2 linked regions of the Ovis aries genome follow. The protein of the gene in region 1 purifies or fractionates together with the protein of each later gene. This does not show direct contact. Links are inferred from orthologs where the notes say so. Each region holds a gene or a part of one and is shown in the gene's direction. Other genes may lie near its edges.

Region 1 (5,851 bases):
AGGCTGGGGGGGTGGGGGGTGGTTGATTAGCCTCTGGAGAATAAGACAGAACTGGATTGAGAAATGAGGATTTGGAGGGGAGAGGGGAAGCTGGAGGTTGGAATGGGAGCCGGGGCTGGTAAATCTGGAGTACCCTCAAGGTAAGAGGAAGGAGATCTAAGTTCTTGAGAGATCCTTGAGCTGAATGGAGGGCAGTGGGGAGAGGGACCGCTTGTTCCCGAAATGGATAGCTAGGCCTTATTTCCTCAGGACTCTACCCGCTGTACTAAAGGGAGAAATAATATGGAGAAGTGCCGATTCCCTCTACCCCCCTCTTCGCCCTGTCCCGTGATAATGACGCCTCCAGAGAGGAGGATAATCAGGGTTCCTGGGTTGTTCACTATTCCTGCCCTTGCCCCAACCACGTCTTCTCTGTGTCACCATTCAAGCTCTATTCCAGGTGACCGGAGTCCAGATCCGGGAACAACCATCCCTAATCCCAGCTCATTCTGTAATTCCCAGACCCAGATGTTGTGGCAACATTCGAAGTGGGAGGAGTTCAGGCAGCGACCAGGTCAGTTGCCTGAGTTAAAACAACCTACTCTTTCTCTTTTTTCAGATAATGCTCGGAATCTTTTTCAATGTCCATTCTGCTGTGTTAATTGAAGACGTCCCCTTCACGGAGAAAGATTTTGAGTAAGTGGAGAGGCAGGGGATGTGGTCAGAATTGGGGGCGGAGAATCGCAGGAGGCTAGACGCTTGGGCCGCGGTGGCTGGGAAACGGTGCTCTCTCTAGCACCCGGGAACAGTCTTGGGAGTCAGACTTCAGAGACCATCCTAAACCCACCGCTTTAAATGTGGCTGTTAAGAATTTTACTGGTGCTCGCTTCGGCAGCACATATACTAAAATTGGAACGATACAGAGAAGATTAGCATGGCCCCTGCGCAAGGATGACACGCAAATTCGTGAAGCGTTCCATATTTTTTGAGGATGCTCATAACACCTCCTTTATAGGGCTGTTATGAAAAATAAATCAGTTAATTCATAGAAAAAAAAAAAAGAATTTTACTGGATTTCTCTGTGCCTCCGTCCACCCCTGCAAAGTGGATGCTATAACAGAACTCTCCCCCAAAGGGTTATGAAGATTGAATAAGATAATACACATTAAAGCGTTTAGAAGGGTACAGGGCACATAGTAAGTGTTCCGTAAATGTGTGCTGTTAATGTTTCTGATATTTCTCTGCCTAATCCCCACCCCTAGGAATGGCCCCCAGAACATATACAACCTTTACGAGCAAGTCAGCTACAACTGTTTCATCGCGGCGGGCCTTTACCTCCTCCTCGGAGGCTTCTCTTTCTGTCAAGTTCGGCTCAATAAGCGCAAGGAATACATGGTGCGCTAGAGCACAGTGGCGCTCCCCCTCTCCAGCCCCCTCCTCTATTTAAAGACTCTCCCCAGGTCACAGCCCCCCGCCTCCCATTCTGGTGCCCTCTGCGGACTAGGTTTTCTTGGCGAGAGACTCAATCCCTTGTTCTCCAACCTCTGGCGCCCGGCTTCTGTGGAGGGAGGTTGGGGTTGGCCGTTCCCTGTCCCTCCGGCCCTCTCGCCTCGTCCCGTTCCACAATAAAGAGAAACTGCTCTCTTAAGACTTGTGTGTGTGTCTGGGTTAGGAGGCGGGTACCCGGGCTAGAGGTCGGTCTCCAAATAGGGAATCCCGACCCCTAGACGGAAGTGGAGTGAAACCGGGCCGGAAGTGAGGCGGTGTCTTCCACTCTCCTTCCCGCGCGCTGAGGCGGCCTGAGTAACCGCGGCTGGTGAGGCGGTGAGCGCCCGAACTGGAGCCAATCAGCTGCGGGAAGGGGCGGGACTTCCTGCGCGGGGGCTGGAGCCGTTGCACCGCCTCGCTCTTCGCGGTCCCGGCTCCGAGGTAGCGGCGGCGGCGGCGTCTCCGTGAGGAGGCGCGCGGGGCCATGACGTCAGCGTCCACAAAGGTTCGACCTCCCTCGCGGACAGCGCTCCCTGGCGGCCACGGGAGGGCGGGCCCCCCAGTTGGCTCGCGGCTCTTCCGTCCCGGGCGGGGGGCGGGCGGGAGTCCAACCTGGGGTGGGGCTAGGGGCTCCGGGCGGGACGGCGCGGGGCTGTGCGCCGGCCCCCCGTAACGCTGCCCCGCCCCCAGGTCGGAGAGATCTTCTCCGCGGCGGGCGCCGCCTTCACGAAGCTCGGAGAGCTGACGATGCAGCTGCATCCCGTGGCCGATTCTTCCCCCGCGGGGTACGTGAGCCCGGGCTGGGGACCTGGACGCTGAGATCAGACGCTGGGACTCGATCACAGACACCGACACTCTCTAGGGCAGGGACAGATGTTAGTTTCCCTTCGTGCCTGGCACAGCGCAGAGTAGATCTTAATAAATGATTATTGAATGAATGAATGACAGATAAACCACAGACTGAGGCTCGTAATCTGGACTCATTTTACAATTCTGTCCTGCTGCGCATTGGCAGAGCATAGACCATCACCACTACCCATTCACCCCAAATCATGTGGGATTCCATCAGATTGCAACAGATTGTGTTTAGGGGGTCTGTTGGTAAGACACCCCCCCACTTGTTGAATTAGTTTCAGTGGGCTGTTTACAGTAGCTGTTTCACGTTGATGGGGGAGCCGTTTTCTTCTAAGGTTGTTGCATTATCGTTTGGATGGGGGTCCTCAGGGTTCCCACAGGGCCTTAAGAATTTTTTTGCTTTTTTTGTTTGTTTTTTAAAGAGGACCTCTTTATGGAAGGGGCCCCGGACATTGCAGGGAGGAGGCTGGTTGCTGTGGAATGCGTAGCCTGTGGGCTGGCTCCACATCCCTCCTCTTCCCACTTTCGCTATTCCCCTCTCCCCTTCTGACAGTGCCAAGTGGACGGAGACGGAGATAGAGATGCTGAGGGCTGCTGTGAAGCGATTTGGGGACGATCTTAATCACATCAGCTGTGTCATCAAGGAACGGACAGTGTGAGGGAGGGCTGGCTGGCAGAGAAAGGGCGGGTGGGCAGCTTTCTTCCTCCATACCCATTTGTTCCATCTTCCTCAAACTCCCTTCCAGCTCAACATCTTTCCTACTCTGTGAGTCCCTTGAGAACTGAAAGAATAAAAGAATTGTCACAATTGGTCAGAAGTTACTAAAATGCTGTGGTCATCAGGACCTTACATGAATTTAATTTTAGGTTACCCAGTAGTTTAAGATACCCAATAGTTGAATTTGCTAATAGGAATTCCCTGGTTATTTATACAGATCTTTTGAACACTCCTGTGGTGTTTCCAGGGATATTATGATCCTGAACTAGTCGATCAGGATCTGTTAATAAGTTTCAATCTACCTGTAGGTCACCCAGGCTTACCTGGTAGTCTTCCACGTCCATACATCTCTCCCAAAAGAGAATTAGGGGGTGGGCCTTTCCCACTCCTCAGTTGAGGGACTCCACTCTTCACGCTCCATTTGCCCTCATTGGCTGCAAAGCTTCCAGGAAAACAAGAACCCTAGCAAAGGTCGTTGAGGCCCTCACCTGGATTCCTATGAAGGGGCTCCCCAGTGTTCCTTCAGAGTGGCCCATCTCCCCTGCCCCCACCCCCTTATTCTCTCAGCCTTTTTTATGACTCCCTTCCTAACTTGCTCTCTCGTCTCTTTAGGGCTCAAATAAAGGCCACTGTGAAACGAAAGGTATATGAAGATTCTGGTATCCCCCTTCCAGCCGATTCACCCAAGAAAGGGCCCAAGAAGGTGGCATCTGGTGTATTGTCGCCTCCTTCAACTGCTCCTCCACCAAGCAGCTCCAGTGTCCCTGAGGCCGGGGGTCCCCCCATAAAGAAACAGAAGGCTGGTGAGGGCTGTGGAGTTGCTGCCTGGGGATTAGATGTCCCATCCGCGGTTCAGTGAGAGAGTTGGGCTTTGGTCAGAGGACAGATCTCTTTTCCTCTCCCAGTGAAGGTTCCAGAAACTGGCTGGGGTGGGGAAGGGAGGGAAGGAGAAGTTGAAACTTTGGGAAGTGGGTGGGGTGGGGGGAGAACCATCAGGGAACCTAGAACCTAGCTTGTGCCCCCCTCCCAGATGTGACACTCAGTGCTCTGAACGACTCGGACGCCAACAGTGACCTGGTGGATATTGAGGGGCTAGGAGAAACTCCTCCAGCCAAGAAACTCAACTTCGACCAGGGTAGGAGTCCTCTTCCTCCCACAACAGCTGAAGGGATGGGGGATGGTAGGGAGGGTCTCAGCAGGAGCCCCCTCCTGTGAACTGGGGAAGAGAAAGTTCCCTGCTATGCATGCAGGGGTCAGGTCTGTAAGGAGCCAGGTGCTCTGGGGAAGCGGGAGTCCTACTTGGGACTCGCTCCATCTCGGCCCATTTTACTTCCTGTTCCAGACAGCCTGACCCTGGATTCTGGCCTTCTCTTGACCTCCGCTGATCCTCCTCTGCTCTCATGCTGAGCCTTCCACCTCTGACCCCTCTCACTGTTCACCCTGGACCTGTGGATCGCTTGGGACTCTGAGCAAGGCCTGCATGTGACAGGGTGGAAAGGCTGCCAGGGGCAGCCCACCTTGCTGTTCCCGTATGAGCATCTGCACCCCAACCCCTGGGTCCCCCCCCGCAACTGATGGACGTTTTTATACAGAAAACAATAAAGATCTCCCTCTCAGCCTGGTGCTTTCCGCCTGACATTACGGGAGTATGGGGGACACTTCTCTCTCAGCTTAGCCTCCGGGGCTCAGCCCCTCCTCGGCAGCTCTCACCACCCTGCCTGGAGCAGCACAGCCAATATTGGCAGGCTCTCTTCCCAGTACCAACATTTCTGTGCTGCTAGAGCCAGGGGAGCTGGGCGTGGGCAACAAAGACTCCACTTTGCTCTCTGGAGGCAGCATGTACTCTGGGGTCTCTGGCAGCCAGTTCTCCTGAGACTGCCCTGGGGACTTCAGAAGGGCAGCTTCCAGGGCTTTCACACCTCCCATTCCCCGCCCCACCCCACCCCACCTCCCACCTCACCAGAAGGCCCCAGATGTTTTCTGTGTCGCTTCTCCAGGGTGGCCTCCTGGGCCAAGCCTCAGCGGCGCCTCCCCCACCCTCGCTCTAACACCACAGTGTGGTTTGGACGTGGCCACAGTGCCGTACAAACCACAGTGTGCTGCTGGGGCGGGAGCAGGACTGGGGTGGGTTGAGAGAAAGGGAGCACAAGACAGTGCTGTGAAGACCCCACCACCACCAAGGGTGGGGAGATAGAGAAGGCTGAAAGGCAAACATGGCCCCAAGAAGGGTTGGGGAAAGCAAGAAACTAGAGCTAGGAGCTGAGCAGGCCACTGAAGGGAGAGGGGCCTATGGGGTGAGCTTACAGTGTAGTAAGACTGGAACCATCTTCCCTGTAGGAACTCTGCTCAAGGGATCCCCAGTGTGTGGGGAGGTGGGATCTGAGGAAATAGGGAATGACTGTAGGGGACCAACAGACTGCCTCTCGACTCAGCAAGGGCAGGGACCCAAGGCTTCCTGTGTCCGTTCCTCCCCTCCCTGGGTCAGAACCCAAGAGAAAGCAAGGAAAGACAGAAGGCCAAGGACAGCAGTGTTGGGAGTTGGCAGTCCAGAGGTGGTGGGGCCGGAAGATGGTTGGGAGAGGGGGGCCGGAAGTCGCCCTGGGCCCTGGGCCTGCCACAAGATGGAGGCCCAAGGCAGGAAATGGAGGCCAGGGGGAAAGGGGAGCAGCAGGGCCCAAGAAGAGGGCCTTCTGGACCTGGGGGCCAGGTATTCAACCCTCAGGACTGTCCCCATTCCTCATGGCCCCCCAGGACCCAAGTCCCACCCCCCACGACAACCCCTACCAGCCTATTCACCAGGCCCAGGAAGGC
Region 2 (5,316 bases), on another chromosome or scaffold:
ACTTTCTCATCAATATCAGCAAATATTTCTGAAATTTCTAAAATGGCTTCAAAGTCCTGAAAGTTTGCATATATGTATCTGTATACACATATATAATGTGCATAATATATATTGTAATATGTAAAGTATAAGTGATGTATTACTCTATATGATTTCTATTGTGCTTTGTATATATACATTTTGTGTACATCTGTAACTATCCTGTCACCTTTCTTTGCTGTCACTCTTATTTGAAGAAAAGATGTTTTTCCATTTTTACTTTTCCCATTCATTCTTCTAAACCTTCACAACTTAGATTCTGTCATTAACACTATATTAGTGATTCTCTACTTGATCTTAGCCAAAAGGCTGAGAAGTGATGTACTAGTAACCTTAATGGACAATTCTTTGGCTTAGTTTTAGTTTCACTCTCCTTATTCATACTTGTATTTGACCCCATTGGCCACTCCACAAATTTTTTTCTTGCCTTGAGAGACCTTTTTGCTTTGATGATACCTTATTTATTTGATTATTCATTTGTCCTTCATTACATTTTGAATATTTGTTCTTGGACAGTTAGCCTTGTCACTGGTTTTCATCTGCCACTTTTAAATGAGTTCTTCTGAATATTTATCTCTAGCTCAGATGCCTCCAATCATTGTATTTTCATTTGCTTGTTGAACATTTAAATCCCTTTGGTAAGTCTTATTTAGGAGTATCCGAAGTTGAATTCATTATCTGTTTCCCACACAGTTATTTAGTGTTCTCTCAATGAATGAAAAATTTTCTTAATAAATACCCAAGCTGTTTATAACAGTGTGTCATAGTCTTGGCAGATTTAACTTCATAAATTTTTTTTTTATCTTTTACCCGCCACTCTAGTTCATTATTCTTCCGTTACATGAATTATTTCATTGGCATCTTCATTTGGCTCGTTTCTCACGATCTAGCTTCTTTCTGATCTGTGTTTTTGTAAAGTCTATGACACTGATCTGATTATATAATGGAGGTTTTCAGTGGTTCTTTACAATGCTTCTCATCTCCACAGCTCCCTTTATTGCAATTTTTTTCTCACTTCCTACAAATTTTTCAGTCTCCTGCTTTAATTTCCTTTTTCAAAATTATGACCTTGACAAGCAGTTTTCTTCTGAGCAGACTCCTTATCATCTGTTAGATCCTATTCATAGGTAAGTCAGTGAGAGAATCAGTGAGAGAATTTTGGAAATTATGAAATCTTCTGTAGCGCTTCCGTGAAGTTTATACTTCGTTCTTTAAGGTAGTAGTCTCAGACTTGACCTTGTAGAAGATAACAAAGATTTTGGATATTTCTGATCTAATGGATCATGAACCACAGTTTGACATCTAGAACCATTAAAGGATCTTGAGCACTAGAGAGGTGTGGTCACCGTGTGCCTTCAGTGTCAAATTGGGCTTCTGTTTTACACTGGTGTGATGTTTAGAAATTATGTTTTCATTTAAAAAGCACATTAGACTACCTCTGGTGTTTGCTAGGTAAAATGTTTTGTGATTCATTGTAAAGTTGACATTTTAAGCATTTATGGGTAGAGATACTGAGTAACAGGCTTCTCTGTTTATTGAACTCTTGTCTTCTTGTTTCTCCTTATTTAAAATCAAAGTATTGATGTGTCTGTAAAAAATCTGTTGTCTAAAGGCTGTAGATTTCTATTGTTCATTTTTATAAGAACTTGATTTCAAGGTCTTAAGTTTTTTTGGTCTTCTGTTCTTTTTGTGTGATAATAGGAAACACTCAAAGCCGCAGATGTTAGATATAAAAATAAGAAATGGTATTAAGAACTACATAGGGTTAATGAATATTTCATGAACTTAATAGATGTTTTTCAAGCCTGATAGCTTTTTAAAATTTGTCACAACATTTTTCCCTCTTCTGAATAAGTATACCTGTATTGCAGTGTCTTTATTTTTTTATTTGATATTTTTTCAACTACATTCAAGTATCACTGACACACAGTAGTTTTATGTTTTTAATTCAGTGAGTTTTGGCAAAGAGTTGAGGCCGTTTAGACACCGTACAGTCACAATGTAGAACAGTTCTGTCATCCCCCGGACATTTGCTCCTGCTCTCATCCCTGACACTTCAGCTCCCCTTTCTGAGAAATCACTACGTAGAATTTCATGTAGAAAATCACTGTTTGGAATTTGGGTCGTATAGTGTGTAGTTGCATGCTTGCTTGCTTTCACATAGTATCATACTTTTGAATCTCATCTATGTTGTTGCATGTAGCAGGAGGTCCTTTTTATTGCTGAGATTGTTGTATGGAGACGTTGAAATTTTGATTTCTGATTTTGTATTGATACTTTGATAAAATGTGTTTTCATATTTCTTCCAGCAAACTGACCGGGCAAATAGGTTTGAGTATTTATTAAAGCAGACAGAACTGTTTGCACATTTCATTCAGCCTGCTGCTCAGAAGACTCCAACCTCACCTTTGAAGATGAAACCAGGGCGCCCACGAATAAAAAAGGATGAGAAACAGAACTTGCTATCAGTTGGCGAGTGAGTAATAGTTGATACTTAACAGCTGAACCAGACTTATTTTAGATAGTCTTCATTAGAAGCACAAAATCATTTTATTAAAAAAAGTTATAGTGCTGTTACTTATTTGGCCCAGTTGGCTTGGCAGGATATAGCCATACATGTATAAATAAATAAAAATAGGCATAATGCTTTATTTTTATATAGATTGAGTGTCGAATTCAGATGTTACCTTCTCCTTGGAGTGGAAACAAACGCAAAGGTTAAGTGGCCTACTTAATATCATAATAGAAGGAATTAGAATAATCTGACTTTGAACTTAGATCTGACTTGGGGCATTCTCTAGTCTCCTAAACCACATACGTGGATTGAGAGTACTGCTGTTATCTGAAGTCTGTGCTTGTTTATAGATAGTATGATGATTTATGTCATGGTAGTCTACTTAAAATTTTTGTTATAAACTTAGTTTCTTTATATAAAAGGAAATGTCAAGTTGTATGATGCCATTGTTAGGTGGTGGTGCAAAATTTGTAAAGTAATTCTTACATGTTGAATTTATAGATTCTTTCTTAGAATTTGTGCTGGTTGGATAACTTAAGATGTTTGGTGGTGGTTTAGTTGCTAAGTTGTGTCCTACTCTTGGGATCGTATGAACTGTAGCCTGCCAGGCTCCTTTCTGTCCATAGGGTTTTCCAGGCAAGAATGCTGGAGAGGGTTGCCATTTCCTTCTCCAGGGGATCTTCCCAACCTAGGACTTGAACCTGGGTCTCCTGCATTGCAGGCGTATTCTTTACCAACTGAGCCATGAGGGAAGCCCTAACTAAGATGTTTAGTTAGTAATAATGAATTTAGGGCAACCTCGTTGCTTGAAAGTAACCATTAATTGAAGTAACAAAGCATATGCCAACTTTTATCTTTAGTTTAACAACCATAATAATCAGTCATCTTGATAGTATATTATGAAGGAGATTTTATTTTTAAAAAAAAGAGCAAAGTTAAGTTTCTCTCTTGGTTTATGGAGAGTAACTTGGGGTTGAGGGGTAGATTTTTGAATTAAGTTTTCGTAAGATTGGAATGCAGAGAAACACAAGAAGTAAACACATATGACCAGCAAGAAGGGACTTCCCAGGTAGTCCAGTGGCCAAGACTCCACACCCCTGGTACAGAGGGCCTGGGGTCCACTCCTGGTCAGGAAACTAGATCCCATATGCCACACTAAGAGTTTGCGTGTCACAGCAAAGATCAGAGATCCTACATGCCACAGCCAAGATCCGGTGCGGCCAGATAAATATGAAAAAATAAAAAACTACTAAAAAATAAAAATCCTTGGATTTTTATTGCCTTCACTTTCATTTCTGAGGAATGTTTCTCTTTCTGGGAAGGCTGATTATCTTTCCCACAAAGCATGTTGTTTTAATAGAAATCAAGCAATAATTTAGATATAGAGATCACAAGAGTGGAATATAATCTACTGTTTTCTAATTTAAATGAAAGTATTTGTTGAAAGTATATAGGTATAAGTGGAAACTTGAAAACTGGGGAGTAAGTAGTTTTACTAACCTGAGTCCTTTAGAGATTAAGAAATCTGGCAATATTATACCTACAAAAAATTAGTTTTTAAGAGACTGTATGTGACTCGGTTGGGATGTAAAATCTGGGCATGTATATTTAAAAAGCTTCAAGTAATTCTGATGAATCTCTAGTTAAAGAGTCATTGCCTTAAGCCCTAAGTCTCTGTTCTGCAAATTCTGTAGCTTTTGGTGAAAGTTGTAGTTTTTAAAATGTGATTTCTGGGGGAACTATTTTTGGAGTGGGAGCAAAATACTTCACATTAAAATATAAACTATGAGGTTTTTCTTACTGCATACTTCATTGAAATTAGATTATCACATTTATGTTTATCAGGTTCTGGTTAACCTAAGGTATTACTCTATAGTCTTAATTTACATGCCTCTTAAGATACTGTGAAATATTGGTCAGCCTCTTGACTACTATGTTGAAAGCTGGTAATTAAAGCCAAGACTCAGATGGCTTGATTTTATTTTACACTTGGCAGCTATCGACACCGAAGAACAGAGCAAGAAGAAGATGAAGAATTATTAACAGAAAGCTCCAAAGCAACCAATGTTTGCACTCGGTTTGAAGACTCTCCATCATGTATGTTATATATATTTAATTACTTAATCTTTAAAACATCCACTTGTAGCCTTTGGTTAATGTTGGGGTTTTTCTTGGCTATAATTTATAAAGGGAATTTTAAGTAATCTTTGAAATTTATTGATTGTGAAATGAACTTCAGATACTTTTTTGGCTAGAAGTGATAGTATATCATTATGATAGTGATGCTGTATTTCAAAAGGGCATAAATCACCATTGTGCTTGATGTTTCCTGAATGTATATGTAAAAATGGGAATGGAATTTGCCATATATTTGCCCTAGAGAAGAAAGATGTGTAGGAAAAGGTAGTTATTAAAGACTTTTTGTTACTCATCTCCTGATTTTGTCTTTGTTTTAAAGTTTATAAATGGTTTTCCAAAAGAAAACATGGTTAACCAGGTTTAGGTTTTACTTATGTATAATCTTGGGTTTCCCAAGTGGCATTAGTGGTAAAGAGTCTGCCTGCCAGTGCTAGAGACTGACCCATGGGTTCGATCCCTGGGTCAGGAGATCCCCTGGAGGAGGTCATGGCAACCACTCTGGTATTCTTGCCTGGAGAGTCCCATGGACAGAGGACAGTCCATGTAGCCATGTCAGGCTGCAGTCCGTGAAGTTGCAGAGTCGGATATGACTGAAGCGACGTAGCATGCGTGCATGTATAATC

Evidence for each region. Proteins that work in one complex are often made in the same cells at the same time.
Region 2: the proteins of C11H17orf49 (region 1) and SMARCA5 purify together in Homo sapiens (affinity purification with mass spectrometry; 5 studies listed by BioGRID and IntAct, with this or other methods). This does not show direct contact. The link is inferred for Ovis aries from reciprocal best matches to the Homo sapiens genes BACC1 and SMARCA5.

What each region holds. Positions count from the first base shown.
Region 1 is NC_056064.1:26,688,588-26,694,438, forward strand, and holds C11H17orf49 (chromatin complexes subunit BAP18), read left to right. Parts: upstream 1-1,887; 5' UTR 1,888-1,951; coding exon 1,952-1,972; intron 1,973-2,157; coding exon 2,158-2,252; intron 2,253-2,875; coding exon 2,876-2,977; exon of another isoform or gene 2,978-3,104; intron 3,105-3,363; exon of another isoform or gene 3,364-3,652; coding exon 3,653-3,843; exon of another isoform or gene 3,844-4,070; coding exon 4,071-4,175; exon of another isoform or gene 4,176-4,382; coding exon 4,383-4,447; 3' UTR 4,448-4,656; downstream 4,657-5,851. Other genes in the region: RNASEK (ribonuclease kappa), read left to right, coding at 599-675, 1,242-1,383. UniProt on the Homo sapiens protein: Component of chromatin complexes such as the MLL1/MLL and NURF complexes.
Region 2 is NC_056070.1:14,452,962-14,458,277, reverse strand, and holds part of SMARCA5 (SWI/SNF-related matrix-associated actin-dependent regulator of chromatin subfamily A member 5), read left to right. Parts: intron 1-2,348; coding exon 2,349-2,515; intron 2,516-4,550; coding exon 4,551-4,651; intron 4,652-5,316. UniProt on the Homo sapiens protein: ATPase that possesses intrinsic ATP-dependent nucleosome-remodeling activity.